4 linked regions of the Saccharomyces cerevisiae S288C genome follow. Changing the gene in region 1 together with any one later gene gives a genetic interaction. Each region holds a gene or a part of one and is shown in the gene's direction. Other genes may lie near its edges.

Region 1 (2,701 bases):
AAACTACAGCTGTAGAACCTCATCCTCACAATTTAAGGCATGACTTGCCATATGAAGTGAGAGATGAAGCTGGGCGTAAATGGTGGAAATATTTTGATGAATTCGAGTATCGTGTTAATAAGGAATACAAGAAATCACGTAAGTGGTACGAGTTTTTGTATCCTAATCATACTACTCAAACCAAGGCTGAAAGACGGCTTCTTTACAAGCTAGACATTATTATTGCTTTATACTTTTTTATGTTATGTTGGTCCAAGTCAGTGGATTTGAATAACTACACTAACGCATATGTTTCCAATATGAAGGAAGATTTAAACATGAAAGGTAATGATTACGTTTACACTTCTACTATTGCTAATGTTGGTGCCATTGTCTTCCAATTACCATTTATGTATTTGTTACCAAGATTTCCCTCTCATATTATTTTGCCTGTAATGGACTTGGGCTGGACTTGGTTCACATTTGCATGTTATAGGGCAAACTCACTAGCCGAACTAAGGGCTTACAGATTTATTTTAAGTGCCTTTGGCGCTGCTTACTACCCAGTGTCCCAATATATACTAGGTTGTTGGTATGCCCCAGATGAAATTAATTCAAGAGTCTGTTTATTCTTTTGTGGGCAACAATTGGGTTCCGTGACTTCAGGACTTCTGCAAAGTCGCATATTCAAAAGTTTGAACGGCGTCCATGGTCTAGCAGGCTGGAGATGGATGTTTCTGATCGATGCCATTGCAATTTCTCTTCCCACGGCTATTATTGGTTTTTTTGTTATTCCCGGTGTACCATCTAAGTGTTACTCTTTATTTCTGACTGACGAAGAAATACGAATTGCAAGGGCCAGAAATAAGAGGAACCAAATCAAAGATGGTGTTGATAAAAGTAAGCTAGCCCCATTATGGAGCAGAAAACTTTGGAAGAAAGTATTTTGTACTCCAGCATTCTGGGTACTTGTTGTTTTTGATACATGTTCGTGGAATAACATGACTGCGTATAGTGGTTCATATACTTTGTGGTTAAAGTCTAATACAAAGTACTCCATTGCCCAAGTGAACAACCTGAGTGTTATACCCGCATGTTTAGGATTTGCGTATGTGATTTTTTGTGCCTTTGGTGCCGATTTATTTAGATGTAAGTGGATATTCATGGTTTTTGCTGCTATAATGAATACCGTTTCTTGTGCCTTACTTATCAAGTGGGATATTCCTTCGAAAGCTAAATGGTACGCTTTCTTCACCACGTATTTCAGTGTGGCCGCATCGCCTTGTCTATGGTCGTTTATTAATGACTTCTTAAGGTTTGATCCTCAGGTGAAGGCTATTACATGGATCGCCATTTATTCCTTCTCTCAATCCACTTACGCCTGGATTCCTACCTTGGCGTGGCCTACCGTGGAGTCACCACGTTTTAAGACTGGTTACACCGTGAGCTTAATTTTTGGTGCTATTTACGGTTTATGGACGTTTGTTGTACTTTTTTTTTACAAGAGAAACGAAAAGAAACATGCTCTAGGTAATGGTATCATCTTGTATGATAGTAATAAGGGTGAAGAGCTTCCAGAATTTGTAAAGAAAAATATGGAGGAAAGAGATGGTTACTACTATTTAAAGCGGTCCTCGTAGTCCAATTTACGTGAAGTAGATAGGTATATTACGCTTTAGACACCATACCTCAAATAAATATATTCATGTATATAATTTAATCATCTTCTATCTATAATTAATCTCGATGTTGATAAAGGTCACCTTATACGTTCTATGAGTGAAATCGAGTGAAAAAGTGAAATTTAAGAAAGGGCTCGAAGGATGTACTGTGTAATAATTACACCTGGCCACATTCAGTTTGGCAAAAGCGAACGAGGTACAGTGTAAGAGATGTCTAGTGAAAGAGCCTGTATGCTGTGTGGCATAGTGCAGACCACAAATGAGTTTAATAGAGATGGTTGTCCCAACTGTCAGGGTATTTTTGAAGAGGCAGGTGTTTCTACAATGGAATGTACGTCGCCTTCTTTCGAGGGCCTCGTAGGAATGTGTAAGCCTACTAAGTCGTGGGTAGCAAAGTGGCTGAGCGTAGATCATAGTATAGCTGGTATGTACGCCATCAAGGTCGATGGTAGACTACCAGCTGAGGTTGTGGAGCTGTTGCCTCACTACAAACCGAGGGATGGCAGTCAAGTTGAGTAAAACCTTCCGTTCTGATATCACATGTATAATAGTAATGAATTTTTTTTACTTTTTTTTTTTTTTAGTAAATATTCTAGCATATGAGTTTATGCTTTCATTTATTTAACGTTCTGCACTTTTGTTTTTGCTGGCAAACCCAATTTTTCTACCGTCCAGTAATTCAACTAAGGCTAAAAAGACTTTCATTAGAAAAAAAAGGTCCAAGGATAGGAAAATTTCAAGATAAAGTATGGCATTATGTTAAAGAGGTTAGCCAATCGTCAAAATGGTTTTGCGTCATTCTCGTGCAGCTCAGTCGGTCTGCGATATGGTAGGACTAATCCAAGTACAAAGAGAAGCTTTTCACTTTTTCAAAGTGTAGCGGACACGTTTTTAACAGTGCATGAAGCCTCACATATACCATGGATAGTGCTTGTTCCTTTGACTACTATGACCCTTAGAACCCTCGTGACGCTGCCATTCAGTATATGGCAGCGGAGGAGAATTTTGAAACAACAAGAACTGAGGAAATTAGTACAGCC
Region 2 (4,396 bases), on another chromosome or scaffold:
TATCGGTAATATTCAAAAGAAGAAGCATGACTATAAGCGAAGCTCGTCTATCACCGCAAGTCAATCTTCTCCCAATAAAGAGGCACTCAAACGAAGAGGTAGAGGAGACTGCAGCGATTCTAAAAAAGCGTACTATAGATAATGAAAAGTGTAAAGACAGCGACCCTGGTTTTGGTTCCCTTCAAAGAAGGTTACTGCAGCAACTTTATGGCACACTTCCTACGGACGAAAAGATAATCTTCACATATTTACAAGATTGTCAACAAGAGATCGATAGAATCATTAAACAATCCATTATTCAGAAAGAGAGTCATTCAGTAATTCTCGTGGGGCCCAGACAAAGTTACAAAACATACTTATTAGACTATGAACTGTCTTTGTTGCAACAATCTTATAAAGAGCAGTTTATAACTATCAGGTTGAATGGGTTTATTCACTCCGAACAAACAGCTATTAACGGTATAGCAACTCAATTGGAACAGCAGTTGCAGAAAATTCATGGCAGTGAAGAAAAAATTGACGATACTTCATTAGAGACTATTAGCAGTGGTTCTTTGACAGAAGTGTTTGAGAAAATTCTTTTACTCTTAGATTCGACCACGAAGACAAGAAATGAAGATAGTGGTGAGGTTGACAGAGAGAGTATAACAAAGATAACAGTTGTTTTTATATTCGATGAAATTGATACATTTGCTGGGCCTGTGAGGCAAACTTTATTATACAATCTTTTTGACATGGTAGAACATTCTCGGGTACCTGTTTGCATTTTTGGCTGCACAACGAAATTAAATATCTTGGAATATTTAGAAAAGAGGGTAAAGAGTAGATTTTCTCAAAGAGTGATTTATATGCCGCAAATACAGAATCTAGACGATATGGTTGACGCCGTCAGAAATTTACTTACAGTTCGCTCTGAAATCTCCCCCTGGGTTTCACAATGGAATGAAACGTTGGAAAAAGAACTATCCGACCCTCGATCGAATTTGAATAGACATATTAGGATGAATTTCGAAACCTTTAGGTCATTACCTACATTGAAAAATAGCATAATTCCATTAGTAGCGACATCCAAAAATTTTGGTTCACTCTGCACTGCCATAAAATCGTGTTCTTTTCTTGACATATACAATAAGAACCAACTATCTAATAATTTAACAGGAAGGCTCCAATCTTTATCCGATTTAGAGTTAGCCATTTTGATCTCAGCCGCTAGGGTTGCCTTAAGGGCGAAAGACGGATCTTTTAATTTTAATTTAGCTTATGCAGAGTATGAAAAGATGATTAAAGCTATCAACTCCAGAATTCCCACCGTGGCTCCTACTACAAATGTGGGAACAGGTCAAAGTACTTTTTCTATCGACAATACTATCAAACTATGGTTGAAAAAGGACGTCAAGAACGTTTGGGAAAATTTAGTGCAACTGGATTTTTTTACCGAGAAATCAGCCGTTGGTTTGAGAGATAATGCGACCGCAGCATTTTACGCTAGCAATTATCAATTTCAGGGCACCATGATCCCGTTTGACTTGAGAAGTTACCAGATGCAGATCATTCTTCAGGAATTAAGAAGAATTATCCCCAAATCTAATATGTACTACTCCTGGACACAACTGTGAATCTTGGGAACAATATACAGACATTTTATTGGCGGTAGCAACTCTGATATTCCACTGTTCAGCTTTCCTAATAAGTAAGTTCAAGATTATGTGGTCATCGCGTCGAACGGAAATACACCCATACACCAAACCTCTGTGAATTTGAAAAATTCACATATGCATTTAATAGAGCATAGGCAATGTAGAGAGAGAAATTAACAATGGTGAAAAGAAATATTACCAAACACCAGCAAAAGAAATTGTATAGTATTAGCAGTACATTCGTGGTCAAGCAGAATAACAGTAAAATAATATGAGTGATAATGGTTCCCCCGCGGTTCTTCCAAAAACCGAATTTAATAAATACAAAATCGGCAAAGTGAAGAGTACACCAGCCATCCAGCGAGATGCGAAGACTAACTTAACATACATCAAACTAAGAAAAAGAAGTAGTGAGAAAGTTTACGGGTGTACAGTTTTCCAGAATCATTATCGTGAGGATGAAAAATTAGGACAAGGAACATTTGGTGAGGTTTATAAGGGAATTCATTTAGAGACTCAAAGACAAGTGGCAATGAAAAAAATTATAGTTAGCGTTGAAAAAGATCTGTTTCCTATAACTGCACAACGAGAAATTACTATTTTAAAGCGTTTAAACCACAAAAATATTATTAAACTAATCGAAATGGTGTATGACCATTCACCGGATATTACAAATGCGGCATCCAGCAACCTACATAAGTCATTCTACATGATCCTGCCGTATATGGTAGCAGATCTGTCGGGCGTTTTGCATAATCCGAGAATCAACTTAGAGATGTGCGATATAAAGAATATGATGCTACAAATATTAGAAGGCCTAAATTATATTCATTGTGCAAAATTCATGCATAGGGATATAAAGACAGCAAATATTTTGATTGACCACAACGGTGTTTTAAAGCTTGCTGATTTTGGTTTAGCAAGATTATATTATGGCTGTCCTCCAAACTTAAAGTATCCTGGTGGTGCAGGTTCCGGCGCCAAATATACATCAGTAGTCGTAACGAGATGGTATAGAGCACCTGAGTTGGTGCTTGGTGATAAACAGTATACAACAGCTGTTGATATATGGGGTGTCGGATGCGTTTTCGCAGAATTTTTTGAGAAAAAACCTATTTTACAGGGAAAAACGGATATTGATCAGGGACATGTTATTTTCAAACTACTTGGTACACCGACAGAAGAAGATTGGGCCGTGGCTAGATATTTGCCAGGTGCTGAACTAACAACAACTAATTACAAGCCAACGTTGAGGGAAAGATTTGGTAAATATCTAAGTGAAACAGGTCTAGATTTTTTAGGACAGTTGTTAGCGTTAGATCCTTACAAGAGGTTGACCGCTATGTCTGCTAAACACCATCCTTGGTTTAAAGAGGACCCTTTACCATCAGAGAAGATAACATTACCGACGGAAGAAAGTCATGAAGCTGATATTAAGAGGTACAAGGAAGAAATGCACCAATCATTGTCCCAAAGAGTACCTACTGCGCCAAGAGGTCATATAGTTGAAAAGGGTGAATCACCTGTCGTGAAAAATCTTGGGGCGATCCCAAGAGGCCCCAAGAAAGATGACGCAAGTTTTTTGCCTCCATCAAAGAACGTATTGGCTAAGCCGCCTCCTTCGAAAATAAGAGAACTACATCAAAATCCTAGACCGTATCATGTGAACAGCGGATATGCTAAAACTGCGATTCCACCGCCAGCAGCCCCTGCAGGAGTTAATAGATACGGACCCAACAATAGTTCCAGAAATAATCGCTTCAGCGGCAACAGCACTGCACCCAACAACAGCAGGAATCCCGTAAATCGATTTCATCCTGAGACAAATGTCAGCTCTAAATATAATAAAGTACCTTTGCCATTGGGGCCTCAGTCAAGATACCAGGGTAATTCAAATGAGTCCCGGTACAAAAACTCGCCAAATGACTCTAGATATCATAACCCTAGGTACGTGAACAAGCCGGAAACCAACTTCAATAGGCAACCACAGAAATATAGTCGCCAAGAATCCAATGCGCCAATCAATAAAAATTATAATCCTTCAAACGGTTCTCGCAATATGGCTGGTGATCATCATCAAGGCTCGAGACCTTCTCATCCACAATTCCCAATCTCGCCCTCACAGGGGCAGCATCAGCTTACGAGTAAACCAATAGAGAAAAAAAATGGAAGCTTTAAGGATGAAAGAGCGAAACCAGATGAGTCTAAGGAGTTCCAAAATAGTGATATTGCAGATCTATATTAGGTTATACTATTCTCTCTTCCTTTCTGGCCTCGTGGCTAATTACGGAAAGTTGTATACTGACTACTATGTAATCTATCACGTTTTGTCACTGTCTCGCTCTTTTCAAACAATCCATAAAATCGAAACTATTGTCAAAACGTCAGTACATCCTACCTGATAGGGACTGTACCAATGTCAACGTTCGAGTAAGTGATAATAAGGACCGCCTTACCCACCTTCAGGACACTCGGTTTTACACAAGCGTTATCCTGCGCGGATTTTCAATATGAAAACAACTAAGTTTTCCTGTAACATCATATATACCATTTAAAAGAGTGCCAAAAAACCGATAACGATTATTTTAAAGGCGTTTTATATAAGAGAAGAAGTAAAGAGAAAAAAGCGCTTACTAGAAATGGGGAGAAGGGTGCCAAAGAGATAAAAAAAACTCCCAGCTAAGTCACTGGTTCAACGTTCCAAATGGTATCGGAGTATTCCTCGATACAACGATCACTGCTAAAGAAGCCGACGTTTG
Region 3 (2,842 bases), on another chromosome or scaffold:
TGTGGGCCTGAGTTTCCTGTTAGAAACAAAGATATGCTTAAAACTAAATAACATTGGAAATTAGGGCATAGTCTTCAATGTTATACTTAAACATCACAGCAGGAGATTGAGATGATTGAAAGAATGGTGCAAGAAATGATTCATTAACATTCTTCCAAGTTTTGCAATATTTGCAAGTATTACTATCAGACTTTAGTTGAAGTGACTATGCTATTACCAAATTTCACTGGAGCCAGAAAAATAAAGATCACTTAGAGACAAAGAAAAGTAACATCTTCAACATAAGCCGGAGCTCAAAAGTAGGAAATCGGATAAGAAACTTGATTCTGTTATTTCAAGTGATTTTTTGCTGTATCGCCCACGTTCTTGTTGTAGATGTTTTGTAGATGTGGGACCGAAAGTAAGTGAACAGTGAAGTAAACAGAATAGGATTCTAAAAAAGAGCTTATAAACTGTTCTTTAAAATTTTTTCTTTCGTGAATGTCCTCGAGCTATCTCAAAGAAAACGAAATCTTCATTCAACTTAAGTGTAGGTATTATTTGCTGTTTCATCAAATGCGGCACCAAAGTGGAAGTATTCTAGTCAGTTAGTTTTTCATTGTGAGGAATTGATATGTCGTTCTCTGATAGAACCACGCTAAGTTGGTGTTCAATTTTTTGCAATTCGGTAGTAATTATGCCTTGCAACATGTTTTATTCTTTTATAGTGTGATACCGTCAATATGATGATTTGCGGTGGAGCATGCATGTGCTTACTAGAAGTGCTGCTCTGGTGGGCATTTTAGGGACAAGAATAAATTCTTCTCTCCACTATCTGAACTTCCGTTATTCTTCTGCACGTAATTGCCGTTTTTAGGATTTTTTGGAGTTGTCACGGTATAGATATGTCTTATTGCGTGATTTCACGGTGTCTTGCACACAACATTTCCAGGTCACAATATTTGGTTCGAGGTTCCCAGCAAGAATTCATTATCCTTTTCAATGTGTCGCATTAAATCATTATCCAAAAACAAAAGAACTTAAGAAGTACAAAAGACACTTGAAGTATGCTAGCGTAAGAAATACGGTAACCAATATTTATATGTAACATGCTTATTCTGTCATGATTTCACAGTTCAAACTACATTCCTATTCAAAATCATCGCGTTAGTGAGACAAAATCGGTGGGAGAGATGTTAGACAAAAAGATGACAACATTGGAAATAAACCACGACGAAAAATACCTTTGAAAGGATCTTTTTTCGATTTTCCTGTGAATTTGTAGGCTTTTGATGGTACGAGGGTAAACCAAACTGGACGGGAAATCACCATTATTAGTCCTATGTAGAGCCTCGTCACCATACCTATATAAACATAACTATTCTTTTAAGTACTTAAACGGCTTTTTTCTGAAACAAATAGCCAATGTTTTCATAACGAAGATTCCAAAGTTACTTAACGCTCTTCAGGCACTTCCTTATTTATTATGACACGTACAAAATAATAAATTCGTAGTTATAAGATTATCTTATCATATTTAAAATATCTCTTCTTTCAGTTGAAATTGGGCCCAAAATTTTTACCCCATAGCGTTAAAATTAAACAAAAACTGCTATTTCGGTGACAAATTGTAAAAATTCTGAAAACGGAAGAAACAAAAACGTTTAAAATGATTAAACTTTGGTAAAGCAATAATCTACAAATAATTGGAAAAGGAATAGTAATAAAGATGGGGAGAATTATGAAGAAGAATGTCATAAAAAACACTGAAAACAATTAACGAGCCATGGGTAAAAGAAAGAAGTCAACAAGAAAGCCTACCAAGAGACTGGTCCAAAAATTAGATACGAAATTCAATTGTTTATTTTGTAATCATGAAAAATCAGTTTCATGCACTCTGGACAAAAAAAATAGTATAGGAACTTTATCGTGCAAGATTTGTGGGCAGTCGTTCCAAACGCGCATAAATTCATTATCACAGCCTGTTGATGTATATAGTGATTGGTTTGACGCCGTCGAAGAAGTCAATTCTGGCCGTGGAAGTGACACAGATGATGGTGACGAAGGTTCTGATAGTGATTACGAAAGTGATTCAGAGCAAGATGCTAAAACGCAAAATGATGGCGAAATAGATTCTGATGAAGAGGAGGTAGACTCGGACGAGGAGAGGATAGGCCAAGTTAAAAGAGGCAGAGGCGCCTTGGTAGATAGTGACGATGAATAATCCGGTCCTGAGAAAAAACCATATTTACTTAGGTCATATATATTTTATATTTTAAAGCAACCACCCGTAAGCATTTAAGTCTCTTAAGCCAACAAATCGCCTCGCCATCTTAATCATCGTCATCAGTATCGAATATAGATTTTGGTGGGAAAGCGGTTTTAACGTGGTCCGCTAATTGCATCTGTCCATTTCCATCGTTCGTGGGACATCTATCAATGGTAATTGCGCCCACCTTTGATTTCAATAACGTGAAAGTACCATTGTTATTTTTGTCTGGATTATTAGGCAATAGTTGGCTAGCTTCCAACCGCTGCTGCTGGTCCTGTTGTATATGACTTTGTATATGCCTTTGTGGCGCATCCTCACATTTGCTGAAATCGAATTCGGGAGGTGGTGATGCTGGGGGCGATATCAGGAACATTTTTTCACTCTCTGGTACCTTCAAGTATTGTTTAGTTAAATTCCTTTGTCCGTCTTGCAAGGAGTAGCTGAAGTTAAAATTTTCCATTTCTAAAGCACGAGACGCATCCATAACATGCTGAGATATATCATGACTGGGGCAGATCAACAGTATTCTTTTAAACCTTTTCAAAATAATCAACTGTAGTGGTTCATTTTCATTGATTTGAAACTTCCTTA
Region 4 (3,188 bases), 200 kb from region 1:
TTTATATATGTTCATGTGTACTTAATATACGTTTAATGATTAAAACTATAGCCGTCCTCAGGCAAACTGAGATAAGAAACGAAAAAATAGCAGTAACGTAAACGTTATTCTATATTTATAAAGACGTCAAAAAAAAAAGTGATTGTGATATTGAGATGTAAGCTATATACCGAACTTTGAGCTCCCTCACGTGGAAAATATGATAGATTGTTGCCTCATCATTGCGGAACCGCATTTTTTTTTTGTATTTTTGCCTCCCTAGTTTCAAAATGCACCAAATTCTCCCCTTAATGCTTTTTGTTTTAAGTCCCAAATAGCCATCCTTTCATCATCGGGCAAGATAGAAATTTGACTGTCATTCAGTTGTAACACCTGTTTCAGTAGTTCTTTCTGTTTGTTAAGCACAGCTGGATCCACCACCTCGTTCACGCTATTGTTATTCGTAGCCGATGCCTCTTCTTGCGGCCTGGAAGCTAACGGGATCAAATCATCCACTTTACATATCCCATTCGTTAGCAATAATTCAGCCGTAACAAAACTCAACTGTGGACACAGCTCTAATAGCGAAACAGCATCTTCAGGATGCGCTCTTGTCCATTCTTGGAATTTTTGTAAAAATTTCAACTGCACCTCTTTCGGTTTTTTAGCTAGTTCGCTCGATATCATCATAGCAGGGGTGGTCATGTTTATGTTAACGTCGATACCAGAGGGCAATTCTGGAAACTTTTGACTTAGAAAATTGGCATTTCCGCTGTTTTGAAAGTCCGGCCCATTACTATTATTATTATTATTTCCATTGTTGTTATTGTTCCCATTAATGTTGTTGTACTGTTGTTGTTGCTGTTGTGAAACTCCCGATATATCACTATTGCTGGAGTAACCGCATTTCAAAAACCTAGAGCCTAATTGGTATCCATTCAAATTACGTACTGCGCTGGCACTGGACTCTAAATCTCTAAATTCAATAAACGCGTACCCTTTCGACCTACCAGTTTGGGGGTCGAACATCATTTTCAAATTGATCACGGGCCCAACATTACTACATAAATCAAGTATCTGCTCCTCTGTTTGATCGTATGGTATAGAACCCAGATACACCACTCGGGATGGTGGGTTGTTCTGTACCCCCGCATTCACACCGCTCTGCCTATTCATTTTATCGTTTTCGTCTTTTCTTTCAATGTATTGATAATTAACGTGTCTATGTGATGCTATTGGTATATAGCCTTTCTTGTATATCCCTCTAACAATTATTACAAGTGTTTCTGTTTAAAGCAAGTGCTAGAAGTGACTCGGTTCTCTTAGGAAATTCTAAACGCAAGATTTCTCTTATGGTGATTGTAACAATTATGAGATACTTCACTAGCCCACCTTAACTTTACGGACCTTCTTTTGAAACGATGCTTCGAATGACAACGCCTTTTTGATATATAATATCCAATTTCATTATAGGGAAATTTTCAACTCTTACCCGCCCCACTGTGCTGATATGACCAAGTGATCACTCGATGATGGGACTACGTATTGAAAAATATTGAATGAAAAATTACTCAAGCAGCAGAACATTCACAGTGTAGTCAGTCCGCATAAGAGCATTCATCATGGATAGTAAGGAAGTACTGGTACATGTTAAGAATCTAGAAAAGAACAAAAGTAATGATGCTGCAGTTCTAGAAATCTTACATGTCTTGGATAAAGAATTCGTCCCCACTGAAAAGTTACTGAGAGAAACAAAAGTTGGTGTGGAAGTCAACAAGTTTAAAAAATCCACTAATGTAGAGATCAGCAAACTCGTGAAGAAAATGATTAGCTCTTGGAAAGACGCAATTAATAAAAATAAGCGTTCCAGGCAAGCACAGCAGCATCATCAAGATCATGCGCCAGGCAATGCAGAGGACAAGACAACTGTAGGTGAGTCCGTGAATGGTGTTCAACAGCCGGCCTCCTCCCAGTCAGATGCCATGAAACAAGACAAGTACGTCAGCACTAAACCAAGAAATAGTAAGAACGATGGTGTGGATACAGCTATATACCACCACAAATTACGTGATCAGGTACTAAAAGCACTCTACGACGTTTTGGCCAAGGAAAGTGAGCATCCACCTCAATCTATTTTGCATACTGCAAAGGCCATAGAAAGTGAAATGAATAAAGTTAACAACTGTGACACCAACGAAGCCGCTTACAAAGCCAGGTATCGTATAATTTATTCAAACGTCATATCAAAGAATAACCCAGATCTCAAACATAAAATTGCCAACGGTGATATAACACCTGAATTCTTAGCTACATGCGATGCCAAGGATCTGGCACCAGCGCCCTTAAAGCAAAAGATAGAAGAAATTGCCAAGCAAAACTTATACAACGCACAGGGTGCCACCATAGAAAGGTCAGTCACCGATAGATTTACATGTGGTAAATGTAAAGAGAAGAAGGTATCTTACTATCAATTGCAAACAAGATCTGCGGATGAACCATTGACCACTTTCTGTACATGTGAAGCATGTGGTAACAGATGGAAATTCTCTTAGAATAGAAAAAGATGAGAGTAGCCACGGACAGAGCAAAGGAAACAATAGGAGGAAGGGACAGAAAAGCCTGTTCTGACTCTATTCGTAGTAGTATTTGACAGCCGGAATCCAGGAAAAGAAAAAGCCAAACATACAACCATATCCAATTTGTTGAAATGGCATATTCATATACGATGTACATATATACATATACTGCTGGTGTTAATTTTTTTTGTCTGTCTCACGTAAAATCTTTTGTTCGTCCAGTTACTTTTAATTATTTATGATTTTCATGTTTTCTTTATTAATCTTCTATGCATTAAATATGGCTCGGTCAGAACTAAAGAAATACAATTTAAGATGTAACAAAACCGACGAATAAAAAGTTAGAATAAACACAAGAAGCAGAAAGTAGATACTACAGCCACACATAATGCTAAGAGTTATATGGAAGCATAGTTCCAGAGTCACTCGTTCGATAGAACTATCGAACATTTCTACCACTAATCACACCAGGAGTTTAAGGAGGCTTTCCTGGATTTCTCCGAGAAGATTTTACGCTCAATCTTGGGACGACAGACAGCCTAATGACAAAATAGATGCACACATAAAGGTGCAGAAACTCATGGATCAAATAAATTCGAGGCCTAATGTTCTGGAAAAGTTAGAAAAGGTTAG

What was found.
Region 2: mutations in SPT4 (region 1) and SGV1 are lethal when combined (synthetic lethality), as found in Saccharomyces cerevisiae (2 studies listed by BioGRID, with this or other methods).
Region 3: mutations in SPT4 (region 1) and ELF1 are lethal when combined (synthetic lethality), as found in Saccharomyces cerevisiae (3 studies listed by BioGRID, with this or other methods).
Region 4: mutations in SPT4 (region 1) and DST1 impair growth when combined (synthetic growth defect), as found in Saccharomyces cerevisiae (4 studies listed by BioGRID, with this or other methods).

What each region holds. Positions count from the first base shown.
Region 1 is NC_001139.9:616,995-619,695, reverse strand, and holds SPT4 (transcription elongation factor SPT4), read left to right. Parts: upstream 1-1,871; coding exon 1,872-2,180; downstream 2,181-2,701. Other genes in the region: VHT1 (Vht1p), read left to right, coding at 1-1,619; membrane insertase COX18, read left to right, coding at 2,418-2,701.
Region 2 is NC_001148.4:863,935-868,330, reverse strand, and holds SGV1 (cyclin-dependent serine/threonine protein kinase SGV1), read left to right. Parts: upstream 1-1,908; coding exon 1,909-3,882; downstream 3,883-4,396. Other genes in the region: ORC4 (origin recognition complex subunit 4), read left to right, coding at 27-1,616; GPH1 (glycogen phosphorylase), read right to left, coding at 4,317-4,396. UniProt on the Saccharomyces cerevisiae protein: Serine/threonine-protein kinase component of the BUR kinase complex involved in transcription regulation.
Region 3 is NC_001143.9:151,504-154,345, forward strand, and holds ELF1 (Elf1p), read left to right. Parts: upstream 1-1,765; coding exon 1,766-2,203; downstream 2,204-2,842. Other genes in the region: RCN1 (Rcn1p), read right to left, coding at 2,313-2,842. UniProt on the Saccharomyces cerevisiae protein: Transcription elongation factor implicated in the maintenance of proper chromatin structure in actively transcribed regions.
Region 4 is NC_001139.9:415,882-419,069, forward strand, and holds DST1 (transcription elongation factor DST1), read left to right. Parts: upstream 1-1,601; coding exon 1,602-2,531; downstream 2,532-3,188. Other genes in the region: RNA15 (Rna15p), read right to left, coding at 265-1,155; YGL041C-B (uncharacterized protein), read right to left, coding at 2,823-3,005; DPC13 (Dpc13p), read left to right, coding at 2,944-3,188. UniProt on the Saccharomyces cerevisiae protein: Necessary for efficient RNA polymerase II transcription elongation past template-encoded arresting sites.